Linked DNA regions of Pelodiscus sinensis. The protein of the gene in region 2 purifies or fractionates together with the protein of the main gene of each other region. This does not show direct contact. Links are inferred from orthologs where the notes say so. Each region holds a gene or a part of one and is shown on either strand. Other genes may lie near its edges.

Region 1 (7,110 bases), on a different chromosome or scaffold from region 2:
TCTGGGCACCTGCAGAAATAAATGTACTAGCTAATATATTATTTGTTTGCTCCCTCTTTTTTTAACTATCATAACAAATAGATCTGTGATACCATCTAGTCTAGTTGCCAGTCTGATAGTGGCCAATCCCATACACACTTAAATGGAAGTTGTAAAAAATATTGTAACAAACAACTGTACTGTCATCTGCCTAAATGGGAGCTTTCTTCCTGAACCAGACAAACTGGTGGTTGTCTTCTGACTGACTAGGGACGAATCAGTTCCTGTTAATGGTTAAACTCCCACACAGCCAGGAGCCCTTGGGGCCAGGGTGCCCATTAAACATGTAACTGATGGAACTGTCATCAGCTACACAGTATTTTTTAACCCTTTTTATACCCCTGGGTAGAATGTAGTCATTTATAACACTTGCGAAAATATATTATTCCTATCTAATGTAAATGTATATGTATCTATTATTCATAGGAAATGTTCAATTCTATTTTGAAATCTACTAAGCATTACACTTGTGAAACCCCTTGTCAGGCCAAGACTTTAACAGAGGTTAAAAAAGGACTACATACATTCATGCAGGATAGATCATGTCTATTAGCTAGAATGGCAGGGATGCTGTCCCTGGCCTTTTTTTGTCAGGGCTAGGAATGGGTGATGGGATGGATCACCTGATGATTACCTTTTCCATTCATCCCCTCTAGAGCACTGAAAGACAGGAAACTGGGCTAGATGTACTACTGGGTCTGACCAAGATGTCCATTCTTACGTACCGTAATTACGTTTTCAGTTCTACAAATTAACTAGGGGTTGTATAAGGAAATTCTTTCTTACCAGTTTTAAATTTGTTGCACAGCTCCTTGTTCTTGAGTTATGAGGGTAAAGAGATGTACCAAATTCACCTTTTCTATACAATTTATTATTTTGTATCCTTATCTTCCCTCTCACTAGCGGTCTCTGAGCTAAAACAGTGAATCTTTTCAATCTCTCCTAATTCAGAAATCTTTCCATGCCTCTATTCATTTTTATCACTTGCCTCTGAACTCCCCGCCCACTTTGTTATATCCTTTTGAGACAGAGTTGCATTCTGATTATGCTTTCTACTCACATTAATTACCCTAATGTTAACAATATCCCATTACATACTTTGATTCTGAGCCTATAATGAGCTTCATGTAGGTAGTGCCCTGTACAAAAGTGACAATCTTTTTTCCCCAGGTATCAGACAATCGCAAAAATAGTTTGGAAGCTCAAGAATGGCAGCTTATCTTAAAAATACACCCTACAGACAGCAATATAAGTTATATCAAGGGTGCCTGAGGATGTAAACACAATAAATAAATAGGCATTTGCCTGAACAGAGCTCCTTACATAATCAGGACCTTACCAGAATTTGCTTATATATTTCATAGGATTGTTTCCATGACAGTATCAGAATCTTCCCCGCCCCCCGCAGTACATGGAAAACTAAGTTTTTTTATCCTATAAGAAAAGGATGTTACAAGAAGATTGGGATGCAGAAACAGAAGTAACTTCTGCTATAACTTAAATCCAACCTAGAAAATAGTTCTAAGACTAGAGAACTGTGTTTGCTCAGTTTTATTAGCCAAATTTGATTTAGGAAACATATTTCTCCTTTTCCACTTCTCATTGCCACACAAGACATAAACCCCAGCCTAAATGCTCTTCAGAAAGCAGAAATACTGACTACTATGGAAGACTATGTTATTATAGACAACATTCCAGAGTACCATATTAAAACAGACAACATTCCAGAGTACCATATTAAAACATACAAGTAAAAATGTTCCCCTGACTGTAAAGACCAATTGGAATTTTGACTACAGAGAAATTACTCAAACATTTATCAGTTGCTTGTGAGAAACCACTGAAAATAACATTTAAACCAAGAACAAGTTGTAAGGAAAGAGCCACAGACTTGAGCAGTCCCATAGCACAGCAACATTCAAATCCAAGCCCAGAATAGCATGCAGCTGAGGAAAACAAACTGACCTTGATTTCCTTGGTTTTCTTCTTCCTATTGGATGTATCTTCTCCATTTTTGGTTTTCTCTGACTTTTTCACTGTCTCACCTTCACGTTTCTTGCCAGTAGATACAACCTCAAAGAATTTTCTGATATCCTAATAAAACGGGGGGAGGGGAGAGAGGGTTAAAAAGGCAACATACAATACTTCAACCTTTCCCTCCACAAAAGAGCAAGATAATTTTTTTTTTAAAAGCAAATTACTCTCTCAGCAACTCTTCTGCTATTCACTGATCTAGAAGTTCGTTTTAATACCTGAAGAACTGAATGTATTCCTGTTTATAGGACTTGCAGATGCAGAGCAACCTTTGTTCAGTTGAGGCACCCATGGCAGCAGCTTTCCTTTCCACTACCGATCATTTCAAGCGCCCACTTTTCCCTTAGTGGAATACCTCTGCCAGCCATTATATTGCAATGTATAACAAAGAGTCACATCATTAACAGGACAGAGGATTAACAAACAGTTGCAAGTAGCACCAAAATATTCAGTAAACTCTGACAAGTATAACCCAGAGTCTTTTATAGATCAAATGAATAACCTACCTATCTGTAGGATAGAACCTAACAGATGAAACTCCTCAGCAAAACTCATGAATAACTTCAGGATATTGAACAATAGCACCCTCCACCTTTTCACAATCTGGGAGAAATTGGTCATTTCACCATGGCTTTAGCATTAGCAAAGTGTTTGGTATAGCTCTCCAGCAAGCAAGTATCTGATCATTTTTCTCAAGTTCAACAATGTTAATCAACCCACAGATCTCAAAGGGATAACATACTGACGATATTTCCTACCACTATAAGAACCAAAAAAGTGTTCTACCTGCAGAAATAAAAGGTTTGAACCTTAGGAATATCTTGTATGAGCACATAGCTTTCTTAAAAACATAGACCCAGCATCTTTTAAAAGCCCTTAGTATTACTATTTACTTTAAAAAAGAATCATCTAGTTTGTTATACCTGTTTAACATCATTAACTCCAGGTATTGCATCCATTGTAATGGCAACCATTATAGGAGCAGCATAGAATCATTTGGTCTGAATTTATAGCAGGTGGAGGGTGTGGCCTTTGACTATATTCTACCCAGGTAACACCACTGTCTAATTTACCCCCTCTAGAGTTCACCTTAGTTTCCAATGAGTACTAAGACCAATAGTATTTTCTTATGAACTGTGAGTAATGTTAGTTTTGATTTTTAAGTATTGGTCATGCTGTTAATATTTCTGCATATTTTCACAAGCTTGTAGAGCCACTAAGACTTATTCTAGATAAGTTTGATATGAAAGTATACTACTTTGGCTCCTTTGTGAGGAGGAGTCAGAAGACAAAATAGAACATGTGATTTGTTAAGTAAGAATTAGCCTTTTTTTTTTTCTGATAAAGCCTGTAATTTATTTCTCAGGGTTTGAATGGTAGTCTTGTTTTAGAAGTTTTACTTTAATGAAAACTTAAACTTGTTAGATTTCAATTACAATTAAGATGTTGACTCTTTAAGAAGATGTTTTTGGACTGAAGTAAACGGGACTATTTCCATAAGGATCTCCTCATGTGTACCTCCATAAAGGGTTGAGACCTAAATAATTAGTACCACTCTATGGCTGTGTCTACATTGGCATGATCTTGCACAAAAGTGGCCGCTTTTGTGCCAAAACTTGCTGCCTGTCTACACTGGCCACTAGTTCTTGCGCAAGAACACTGACATCTTAATGTATGAAATCAGTGCTTCTTGCGCAAGAACTATGATGCTCCTGCTCAGGAATAAGCCCTCTTGCGCAACTGCTCTTGCGCAAGAGGCCAGTGTAGACAGGCAACATGAATTTCTTGCACAAGAAAGCCCTATGGTTAAAATGGCTATTAGAGCTTTCTTGCGCAAGAGAGCATCTACACTGGCACGGATGCTCTTGCGCAAAAGCACATCTCTTGCACAAAGGCATATGCCAGTGTAGACACTCTCTTCTGGAAGAGTTTTTGCACAAGAACTCTTCCGCAAAAGAATTCTTGTGCAAAATCATGCCAATGTAGACGTAGCCTATTAGTGGTACTTAGCTATCTTGCCACAAGGGTAATAATGGTAATTTACAAGTTATGAATTTTTACTGTAATTGGATAGTTCTAAAATCTAAAGGCATGCTGTCAACCTCAAACAATGACTGAAGTAGTTTCAAGCACTGCATCTTCCTCTGAATCACTATCACCAATTTTACAGTCTTGTTGATATGTGAAAAATCCACCTACACAAAAAACTTATTACAATGCTGCCTGGGACCTTTGGGTTCAGCCATAATATATTCACTTCTACTACAAACTAATTAGGAGGAAGACATTTCATTTTCACTTTTAAATATCAGTCCTCATAGGTGTGAGTTTAAGTTAGTTATATCCTTTTAGTTTAAATGTAAAGTTATGTTGGAATAGTTAATGACCTGTTAATGCAGTGGTCACCAACCAGTAGAACAGGATCTACTGGTAAATCTTGGAGCCTCTGACAGGTGATCCTGACTGGTTTGGCCAAGAGGCTATCAAGTGCGGGCACTTCAGCTGCCCCTCCCCCTACTGCTGTGCACCTCTTGCCCTTTGCCTTGGAGCTGCCTCCACCCACCCCTAGGAGCTTCCTGATTGCTGTGAAGTGCAGGGCAGGGGAGGGAGAGCAGGAGTGCTGATGTCAAGGTGCCCCCTCTCCCACTGTATATCCTATCTCCATAGAGCAGAAAGGGGACACAACATGACTAAGTTTGCTGACTGCTTTTGTGAGTGGTACAGGGCTAGGGCAGGGGTGAGCCTACCTTAGCCTCACTGCACCACCACCCAGGAGCCACCTGAGGTAAGCAGTGCCCAGTTGGAGCCCACATTCTGAAACACTAACCCAGTCATGAACCCCCTCATACACACAGGCCCCTGCCCTGGCCCCAAGCACCCCTGCATCCAAACACCGTCCCAGAGCCTACACCTAGAACCCCCTCTGGCATCCTATTGCCTGCCCCAAGCTCAGCTCAGAGCCCCTCTCACTCCAAATCCCTTGATCCAAGACCAGAGCCTGTACCCCAAGCCTCTGCCCCAGTATGGTGAAAGTGAGAGAGAATGGGGGAGGGATGGAGTGAGCAGGTGAAAGGCTTTGGAGAAGGGGGGGTCACACTGTGGTCAGGCAGGACCCCAGCACTGGCCAGACCACAGCAGCCCCAGAGCCATACCGCACCACCATGCCTGTCAGCTGTCCCAGTAAGTCCTTCCATCCTGTCTGCCCTGCCCCCAACAGTTAATTGGTTAAACAATACAATTTTCTTCATCTAACCAATTAACTATTTTGAGGGACATTTACATCCCTGACTCTAGTAATGCATTGATGCCAGTACAGAGGTGCCCTAAGCAAAGTCTACAAAAGACCTAAGCTACAATCCATTGGGGTCATCTTTAGTACATAAGTGTGGCTCAGTAATGCTAATGATTTTTAATAGACAAGAGAAAATGGATTATTTGTCTTGAATGGCTGGGTAAGTGTTCCTGTTTCCATTACTGGTGAACTCAAACAAGCATCTTCTATTCATCCATCAAGCACTGTGCATGCTAATACTACCACTTGTCTTTTGATAATAACCTTATGACTATACTATGCAGTATCTGTAGGCATGTAACTTCAAAATTTGTGTCTGTGTTAACACTATGTTCCATTCTCTTGCTGCAAATCATCTCGATCCCCATATCAAGGCAGAAGAAGCTTTCTTCAATTGTTTAAAATTAGTTTCTCAGCAAATTGCCAAAGCTTCAAGATAATAGCACATAAGCCATCTGAACACACTTTCTGAATAAAGTTAGATTTGAGTGCTTAATTTACCTTAAAGCTACTAAAATAAAAGACTGTACATGTCCTTCAAGTGTCTTCTGTTTACTATTTTCAGTATTGCTATATTATCCTGCAAACTCCTCAGACATCCCATTGTTTCCAGAGGGAAAAAATAATCTTGTTAAACAACTGGATTGTAGTAGGTGGTGCATCCAAAATTGTTAGACTAAAAAGGACATCACTATGTATGGATAAAGCTCTTACATTATATGAAGCACAAAATTACACTTTCTTCATGCCATATCTATCTGTGAATAGCAAAAAAAATAAAAAAAAATAGTCCTGGTCTATACTAGACCAGGCAGCTCAGTTTAAAGTAAACAACTCCAGCTACACAAAATGCATAGCTGGAGTCGGCTTACCTTAAGCCGAGCCATGGTGGCTAAGGATGTTAAGGACTAGCTGACTATCTGATAAAAGAAAATGCTTATCGGCCAGTCAGTCAACTAGTCGATTCCGCCCCCACCTTGCTGCCTCTATCAAACAGAGGCGGTAAGGGGGCGGGGAAGAGAAGCGGTATTTCAAAGTGGCAGCGCTGCACAGCTGAGCTAGGGATCAACTGTGCGGCACTGCTGTTTTGAAATCCCAAAACATTTCAAAGGGGCAGTAGCCCCACAACTCAGCTGTGCGGCGTTGCCCCTTTAAAATGCCACATGGATCCCGGGATCAGCTGGGGAGTCTCCAGCTGACCCCAGGCTCCACGGTGCTGTCCCTTTGAAACACCAATGCAGCCATTTTAAAGGGACAGCACCGCACAGCTGACCCAGGTTCTGGGGAAATGCTGCACAGAACCGGGGGTCAGCTGAGAAGATCCCAGCTGACCCCAGGCTCCATGGCGCTGCTCCTTTGAAACACGAAGGCAGCGTTTCAAAGGGGCAGCCGCCACACAGCTAAGCCCAGGATCAGCTTTGAGGCAGTTGCCCCTTTGAAACCAGCGGCATTTCAGCAGAACCCGGGGTCAGCTGGGGAGTCTTGTACATTTCAAAGCAGGCACACCCCAGTGCAGCCCAGAGTCAGCGGGACTTCCCACTGGCCCAGCCTGCATGCAAAGTTCCGCATTCCTCCTTTGAAATGTACAAGAGCCCCAGCTGGAGCTCTTGTACATTTCAAAGGACAAATGTGGAAGTGCCTATCTACTAGTTGAGTAGTCAATGGAAATTCCATGGACTAGTCAATTAACCACAATTCACCATCCTTAACGGTGGCATCCTCACACAGCGGGAGACCAACAGAAG
Region 2 (7,419 bases):
TGACATGATAGGAAGCCTTTTTAGAGTATGTCTACACAGCAGCATTATTTCAGAATATCTGACATTATTCTGAAATGACATAGTGCGCATCTCCACAACAAGCCTTTATTTCAAAATAATGTTGAGCCAAGTTCTTACTCTGACTCCTGGTAACCCTCATTTCACAAGGAGTAAGGGAAGTCGAAGGAATAATGTTCTTCCTTTGACTTCCTGCTGTTTAGACAGCATCAAAAGCAGAATTAAGCTATTTCGACTTAAGCTACACAATTGATCTAGCTGAAGTTGTGTAGCTTAATTTGACATTAGCCCTGCAGTGTAGATGTACCCATAAGGACCCTGCTAAAAGATCAAGGCAGAGCATAGATAATCTTGCAGGAAAATATTATTCCTGCAAGCGAAAGGCAGGATGGAAGCCAATGTAATTTCCACACTAATTCTGTTGATCATTTATTTTGGAAGAATCTAGTTAAGCCACAGAAATAGAATTTACTCACTGTAAACAATATTTCATTGTAAAAATATGGAAGGTCCTTTTGGAATTAAGACACCTTGTGTTCATCAAGGAAAATATACATAACACCTAAACTTTTTAAATTAGGTTTAAAACAAAAAAAAAAACCAACAAAGTAAGTCCTACTGACTGAAACTTAGTGGAATACCTGTTAGATACACGAGGAGTCTTCTAAGAGGTAGATGATGAAAGCTCATCTCAAAGACAGTGAGCATAGACTGTACAGTAGATTCTAGTAAAGATTAAATATACTAATGCCCAAAGTTGACAAGCAGGCGAGAAAAAGGTGAGTAAGGGAAAAGTAAAAGTAGTAATAAATTAGAATACATTATGCAGGAAAATTAGTAAAAGTGCAAATGGCTACAGTGGGACAATTCAGAGAAGCCAGTCAGTAGTGCGGCTGAGAGAGAAACCAGACTTCTGAACAGAATTCAGACAGATGAATGAACCCAATACAAATTTGTTAATTTCACTACGAGCGGGGGTGGGGGCAGGGTGGGTGAGGCTTGGTCAAGGGGACAGTTTAAGTGAGGAAGAGGCAGCATGGGGAGAAATATAGTTTAGAATGGGAGAGTTACAAAGGAGGAGAACGAAGCCAACAAGAGGAATTGACAAAAGCTAAACAAAACTAAGCCCAAATAAAACAATAAAACACACACACACACACACACACACACCTCAACACAAAAAAAGCAAAGGTTTCCAAGAAAGAGTAGGCTCCTGAAGTCTAGGGATTCTCAAACTTTATTGTACTGACCCTGTTCTGACAACAAATTATTTCATGGCCCTAAGAGGGCGGACTGAAGCCTGAGGCCACTTAAGACAAATTGCCTGGGTGCAGGGCCTCACTGCTCTGGGGAGCCAAAGCTAAAACTTAAGGGCTTCAGCCCCATGCAGGTCTTGCAATCTGAGTCCCACTGCCTTCGGGACTGGTCACCATATTGAAAGGGAGTCTGGATGCAGAGTTTGAGAGCCACTGGCTTTAGGTATTTATTGACCTTTCAGTACATGATCAGGAAGAGGGGACTGACACAAAGGTAACTTCCAAAATGACACTTAAACTTACAGGCTCAGTCAGTTCAACAGTTGTATTTTTTCCTTCTCCATCCGAAAGAATGAAAAGTTTCCCAGATGGGTGAATCTAGAAAGAGATTATTAAGTCCTTAATACATAACTTCAAACTATCAAAGCAAATTTCTTCTGAATTATAACTTGACTCTGAACTGCATGAGATACTTTTACTCTTCTCATGTATGTAAACTGAATTATTCCTTATCAGCCTAAATATTTAAGATAACATTCTTTATTTTTTCCAACTCCTTCCTATCTGTTAGAATGGCTACTTAAAAAAGCATCACTTGTTTTAGCTAATTGCAGGCTCTGTCTACATCAGTGGTCTCCAACCTTTTTAAGCATGAGATCACTTTTTTAATTTAAATGCAATTTAGGATCTACCTCAAACCCAAATACCCTTGTCTCTCCTTCTAGACCCCCACCTCTGCTCACTCTATCCTCCCTCCCCCATCCTTCCTCCCTTTCCCCAGGCAGAGGGTTGGGGGTGTAGGCTCTGGTCTTGGGTTAAGGGATTTGGAGTGTGAGAGGGGCTCTGAGCTAAGCCTGGGGCAGGGAGCTGAAGTGCAAGAGGGGGTTTATGACTGGGGCAGAGGTTCAGGATGCAGGCTCCAGCTGGACACTGATTACCAGAGTGGTGCTTTACACTCCTTTAACATGGCTATTCTCTAAAGACAGGTTTCACACAACACCATGGGTAAAAAATTGTGACAAAATTAAGCCTAGCACATTCAACCATAATGCTGAAAGCAAACAAGCCACAGGGAAAGACTCATTTGTGCAGATAGAGTGAGGAAAACAGTCTATCTATTTGGCTCTACTTGCCAGGTGCAAGGGATGAGACTGTGTAAATACTGTGGCATTAGGCAAATATAAACTCCCTGCAACTCATTTTTAAGGATTCATTGGATCCAAATGCGCTGGTGTCCCCGACCTATGATAGCATCAGCACCTGGCGGAGGCAGCGTAGACAGCCAGCAAGCACCCAATGCAGACCGCAGCAGACCCCAGGAGGCTGGAGCTGCCCTGGGCGGGGACACCGGGGTAGAAATGCGGAGCGGAGCTACTCTGGGCGCTGGGTCTGACACACCTCGGGCCAGGACCCTTGGTAGAGCCTGGCCCGGTGCTGCCGGGCTCCAGAGAGCAGCTCCCCAGCAAGGGCTGTGAGGGAACCCAAAGCCGCCCGCTGCGAGCCAGGGGAGCCGCGCAGCCCGGGGCCACATGCTGCTCTCCCGCGGCGGCCGATAGCCCCGCAGCTCCTGGACCTCGGCACCGCGCCCCGGGGACACCCAGGGAGGCAGCGGGCTCCAGACCGTCCGGCCTGGGGAGTGAGAGGAAGCAGCCAGCGGCGGGGACAGGACCTGGCCGGAGTCGGGGGTCCCGCTACCTTCTCCACGCGGCCCACGAAGCAGACGGGCTGCCCGAGATGCTGCGCTAAGTGGCTGGTGCCGATGCGCGGCCGCGGCCCCTCGTGCACGTCCCCCATGTGGAGCGGCGCCCTCACGCGCTCCTCGGATGGCCACGGCAGCGCCCCTAGAACGGCGGGAAAGCAGCACTTCCGGCCCCCGAGCCCCGCAGTCACCCTGGCAACATCGGCGGCTTCGAGGCGGGTCTTCCTCCCAGGCAGCCAATCGAACGGGACAAAATGCGGTACCGGTGCCCTGCTGACGCTGACGTAGTCAAACGGTGTTTCTTACTGCGTACGGAACCGAGGGCGCTGCCAGTGCACCGGCCTCACTGGGGAGTGGCGGCCGCTGGGAGAGCGATCCCGGTAGCGCGAGCGGCGGGGTCTGGCAGCGCCGAGGCTCGGTCGGGGAGAGCGGCTGCGCGGTGAGTGAGCGGCGCGGGCTGAGCCTCCCTGTCGCAGTCCCCGGCTCTGCGGGGGGGGCTCTGTATCTCCCCGCCCGGAGCGCTGACGGCGGGGCTGCCCCGTCCCTAACTTGCCCCTTCTGAGCGGAGCCCTGGCGCGGACAGGCCGTGAGCCCCTGTCGGTGGAGAAGGGCTGTGCGAGGCCGCTTGCTCCTTGGCTGCGCTTAGCGCTCATGCTTTAAGGTAAGGTGACTGCAGTCGCTCAGGGGTGTGAATAAGCCCGCGCCGGGCGGTGTGATTATGCCGGGATAAGCAGCCGCTATAACTCCACTTTTTTTGGGGAACGTATCTTGGACTTGCATCGAGGATGGGCTGTACCTCAGTTCCACTCTGGGTCATTCATGCTTAAATTTGACACTTTACCAATGGACCTTAACAAAGATGCTAACTACCTTACCCGTTACAAAGCTAGCGTTCCCAATTATCACCCCAATAGTCTCATACACTAACCTCCTCCCAACCCCCCCTTCTAAAATCTTATTTGTCAATTTTATATTTGTTCACTTTTTTTTAATTGTATCCCTTTGGTATATATGGTCATGCTAATTTTCTTCCACAATTTGATCTGAGGAAGTGGGTCTGGCCCACGAAAGCTCATCACCTAATAAACCATCTTGTTAGTCTTTAACGTGCTGCATAGCCCTGTCTTTTGTTTCTGGGTCACCTGTAACTCTTTCAAGGCTGGTAATCTTCTGGCCTCTGCTGTCTGTCCTCTGGAAGCAGCAATCAGCTCTAGGACCTGTTGGAGCCTCAGCCCAGCTGGCTTGTGGGTCCTAGTACTTCAGGGAGAATACCTAAGGAACCTGCAGCACATATCTACTCTTGTTGGAGCTAGAGCATGCCTAGCAGGAGTGAGGCAGTGTGGCTTCCTCAGCTGGCTAAGTGGTTAATCTTTCTGACCAGTGTGGAGTAGGTACACCCTGTCACAATATTCTTTGTTCTTAGTGTACTTAAACTTTCTGAGAGTCTTTGTGAAGGACCTTCACTAAAGACCAGAGCGGTGCCACTCAGAACGGTGTGGGGCAGCCACCTCAGGCTCCATGGTTTGGGGAGGTCCCGCAGTGCTTCCTCAACTGTCCTATGGATGTGGCCCAGGATATTACTGGAGGGGCCGTGCATGGGGTGGCAGCAGGGGTCCGGTCAAAATAAAATAATTGAAGCTGCAGTGGATGGGTCAAACAGGCTTCTGCTTCTGTGTATTGGGTTGGAAAGTGTGGGAGCTGCTAGGAGGGAGTACACATAGAAAGTCATAATTATCACTTTCAGGGATGATAACCCAAAACTTTTTGGGGGGTTCGGGGCTGCTGACTAGGGATGTTAAATTTAGTTTAATCAACTAGTTGATGGATTTTCCGTTGATTAGTCAATGAGCTGGGGAGCCGCAACGGGGTTAGCTCCTGGGGCTGAGAGCTAACCCTGCTGCGATTCTGCTTTTTAAATGTATTAAGAGTCTGCAAGCTCTTAATACATTTAAAAGGCTGAAACACAGTGTGTGTGGGGGGGGGGGGCGGGGGGAGGCAGGCATGCCAACTGATTCCTGGCTTGCACAGGGTCACCCTCTGCTGCACACCAGCCTTAAATGTAAAAAGGCTAGAGCACAGCAGGGGACCCAGTGTGAGCCGGAAATCAGCTGTCCTGACTTGTGCCAGGTCCTCCCAGCTGCACTACTGATTTTTAAATGTATTAAGAGCTGTCAGGGGCTCATTTAAAAAAGAGAGGCACAGCTCTGGGATTGGGTGCGAGCAGGGAATCAGTTGATTCCTGGCTTGCGCCCCTGCCTCTCCTGTTGTCCACGGAGATGGTGCTGGGGGGAACAGTCTTTTAAGCCGGCTCCCCCCAGCTCCAGCTCCCCCTACCTTGCTGCCTCTGATAGAGGAAGCAGAAAGGGGGGAAGCAACTAGTCGAGAGACTAGATGACTATCGGATAAGCAAGAGATTATCAGGTAGTCGACTAGTCACTTATATCTCTACCACTGACCCATAGAAAAATCAGTTGGGGAGGAACGCACGCAAATGAGAAGCAAAAACAAAACAGTAAACCAAGTCCTCCCTGACGTGGCCCCTCAATTGAGGAGAAAAACACTCCCCTCGTGCACCAGAGCCATGCTAATAAATTTTGTGTGCTCCAACCCTGCAGTAGGAAAGCAGAGCTGAGGGGCTGGAGTGCCAACATGGGCTCCCCAATGCTGAGGGGGAGGGACCATTAGCCCCATGGGTCGTATCCAAGCAAGCCCATGGCTGCATCCAGCTCCTGGGCCTCAGGTTCCCCACCCATACAATATGTAATAAAGTAAATAAAAATACTGTCTAGTCAGTAACATTTCTCTTAGAACTGCATTTACCAAACTATGGGCCATGGCCCAGTACCGGGCCGCGGGGGAAAAAAAATACCAGGCCTCAGTGTAGCTGCCAGGAGGGGAGCAGGGCAGGGTGGGCTGGGAGGAGGTAGGGGTGTGTGTGTGTGGGGGGGGGGGGAAACCTGCTGCCGGGAAGCAGGGTTGGGACAGCAGGGCTGTCCAGCGGAGGTCAGGGCAGGCGGGCGGCCGGATGGTGGAAGCAGGGTTTGGGGCAGCAGGGCTGTCTGGCGGAGATCAGGGCAGGCGGGTGGCCAGCGGAAGCAGGGTTGGGGGCAGTGGGGCTGTCCCGCGGTGATGGGGGGTGGGCAGCGGAACCAGGGCTTGCCGGGGGGAAGGGGGGAGATGGCTGGGGGAGATCGGGAGAACCAGCCACCAGAAGCAGGGCTGGACAGGGCCAGTGGGGCTGGTTGGGGGGGGGGGGGGGGAACCGGCCTCCGGAAGCAGGGCTGGACGGGGGAGATAGAGAGAAGATGAGGCGTTGGGGAGCAAATTGGCCGGCGGGAAGTGGGACTGACCCGGGCACATGAGTGTGTCCAGCCCCAGTAATTCCGATTTGCCCCCACCCCGCCCACATACCCTCCCTCAAGTAGTTGCGAACTGCCTGGCTGGTAGACACACTCACGCAGCGTGAGCACATCTACCAGCCAGGCAGTTCGCAGCTATGGACTGATATACCTAATAATAATAAAACTTACCTAATTAGAAAATACCAGACATTTTATATGTCTGGTATTTTCTCAATTTGGTTCCCAGACAGAACCCTCAAATACCGAGCTGTCTGGTACAAAACTGGACATCTGGCAACCCTACCCCTCCTTGCACCCTCCCTCCTAAGCAGATACCTTCCCACCAATCTGCTTCTGCTCCCGCCTCCTGGCGTGCCCATGTGGCGCCGGGTCCCCTAAACCCTGGCCCAGGCTGGGCGGAGGATACAATTGGGTGAAACACTGAACATTTATTCATTTTTAATTCTTTTTTTATATGCGTTTATATTTTTGGACTGCAAAAAACAGTACAGGCAGTCCCCGGGTTACGTACAAGATAGGGACTGTAGGTTTGTTCTTAAGTTGAATTTGTATGTAAGTCGGAACTGGTACATATTGTAGGGGGAAACTCTAGCCAAACATTTCTCCAGAGCTCAGTTTTATTCTCCCACACCTCACTTCTCTCAGTTCTTTATTCTCAAGCTGAGGTGTCTGCTGAGAAGAGCCGCTCCACGTCTCCCTGGTCTGCTGGTGGGGGGGGGGGGGGCGCTAGCTTTGCGTCTCCCTGGTCTGCTGGGGGGAAGCAGCTAGTGCGGGGGTTGCCTCACCCCGTTTGTAAGTAGGGATCCGATGTAAGTCGGATCCATGTAACCCGGGGACTGCCTGTACTGAAAAAAAAAACAAGTTCCAACTAAAGTAAAACGTTTGGGGGAAACTGATCTAGCCAGCTATCTATCCATCTTATGGTCCGTTTGTCCAATCTGTATTCCCTTAACTTGCTGGCAAGAATATTGTGGGTGACCGTATCAAAAGCTTTGCTAACACTGGCACTGGGGGCTTTAGGAGGACCAGAAACAACTTATTTGAATATTCATCATTTGCTTAATGAATATGCAAACAAATGTTA

Evidence for each region. Proteins that work in one complex are often made in the same cells at the same time.
Region 1: the proteins of RPA3 (region 2) and RFC1 purify together in Homo sapiens (affinity purification with mass spectrometry; 3 studies listed by BioGRID and IntAct, with this or other methods). This does not show direct contact. The link is inferred for Pelodiscus sinensis from reciprocal best matches to the Homo sapiens genes RPA3 and RFC1.

The regions. Positions count from the first base shown.
Region 1 is NC_134715.1:93,048,070-93,055,179, reverse strand, and holds the start of RFC1 (replication factor C subunit 1), read right to left. Parts: upstream 3,063-7,110; 5' UTR 3,048-3,062; coding exon 2,997-3,047; intron 2,134-2,996; coding exon 2,005-2,133; intron 1-2,004. UniProt on the Homo sapiens protein: Subunit of the replication factor C (RFC) complex which acts during elongation of primed DNA templates by DNA polymerases delta and epsilon, and is necessary for ATP-dependent loading of proliferating cell nuclear antigen (PCNA) onto primed DNA.
Region 2 is NC_134712.1:209,643,584-209,651,002, reverse strand, and holds the start of RPA3 (replication protein A 14 kDa subunit), read right to left. Parts: upstream 3,106-7,419; 5' UTR 3,069-3,105; coding exon 2,970-3,068; intron 1,653-2,969; coding exon 1,578-1,652; intron 1-1,577. UniProt on the Homo sapiens protein: As part of the heterotrimeric replication protein A complex (RPA/RP-A), binds and stabilizes single-stranded DNA intermediates that form during DNA replication or upon DNA stress.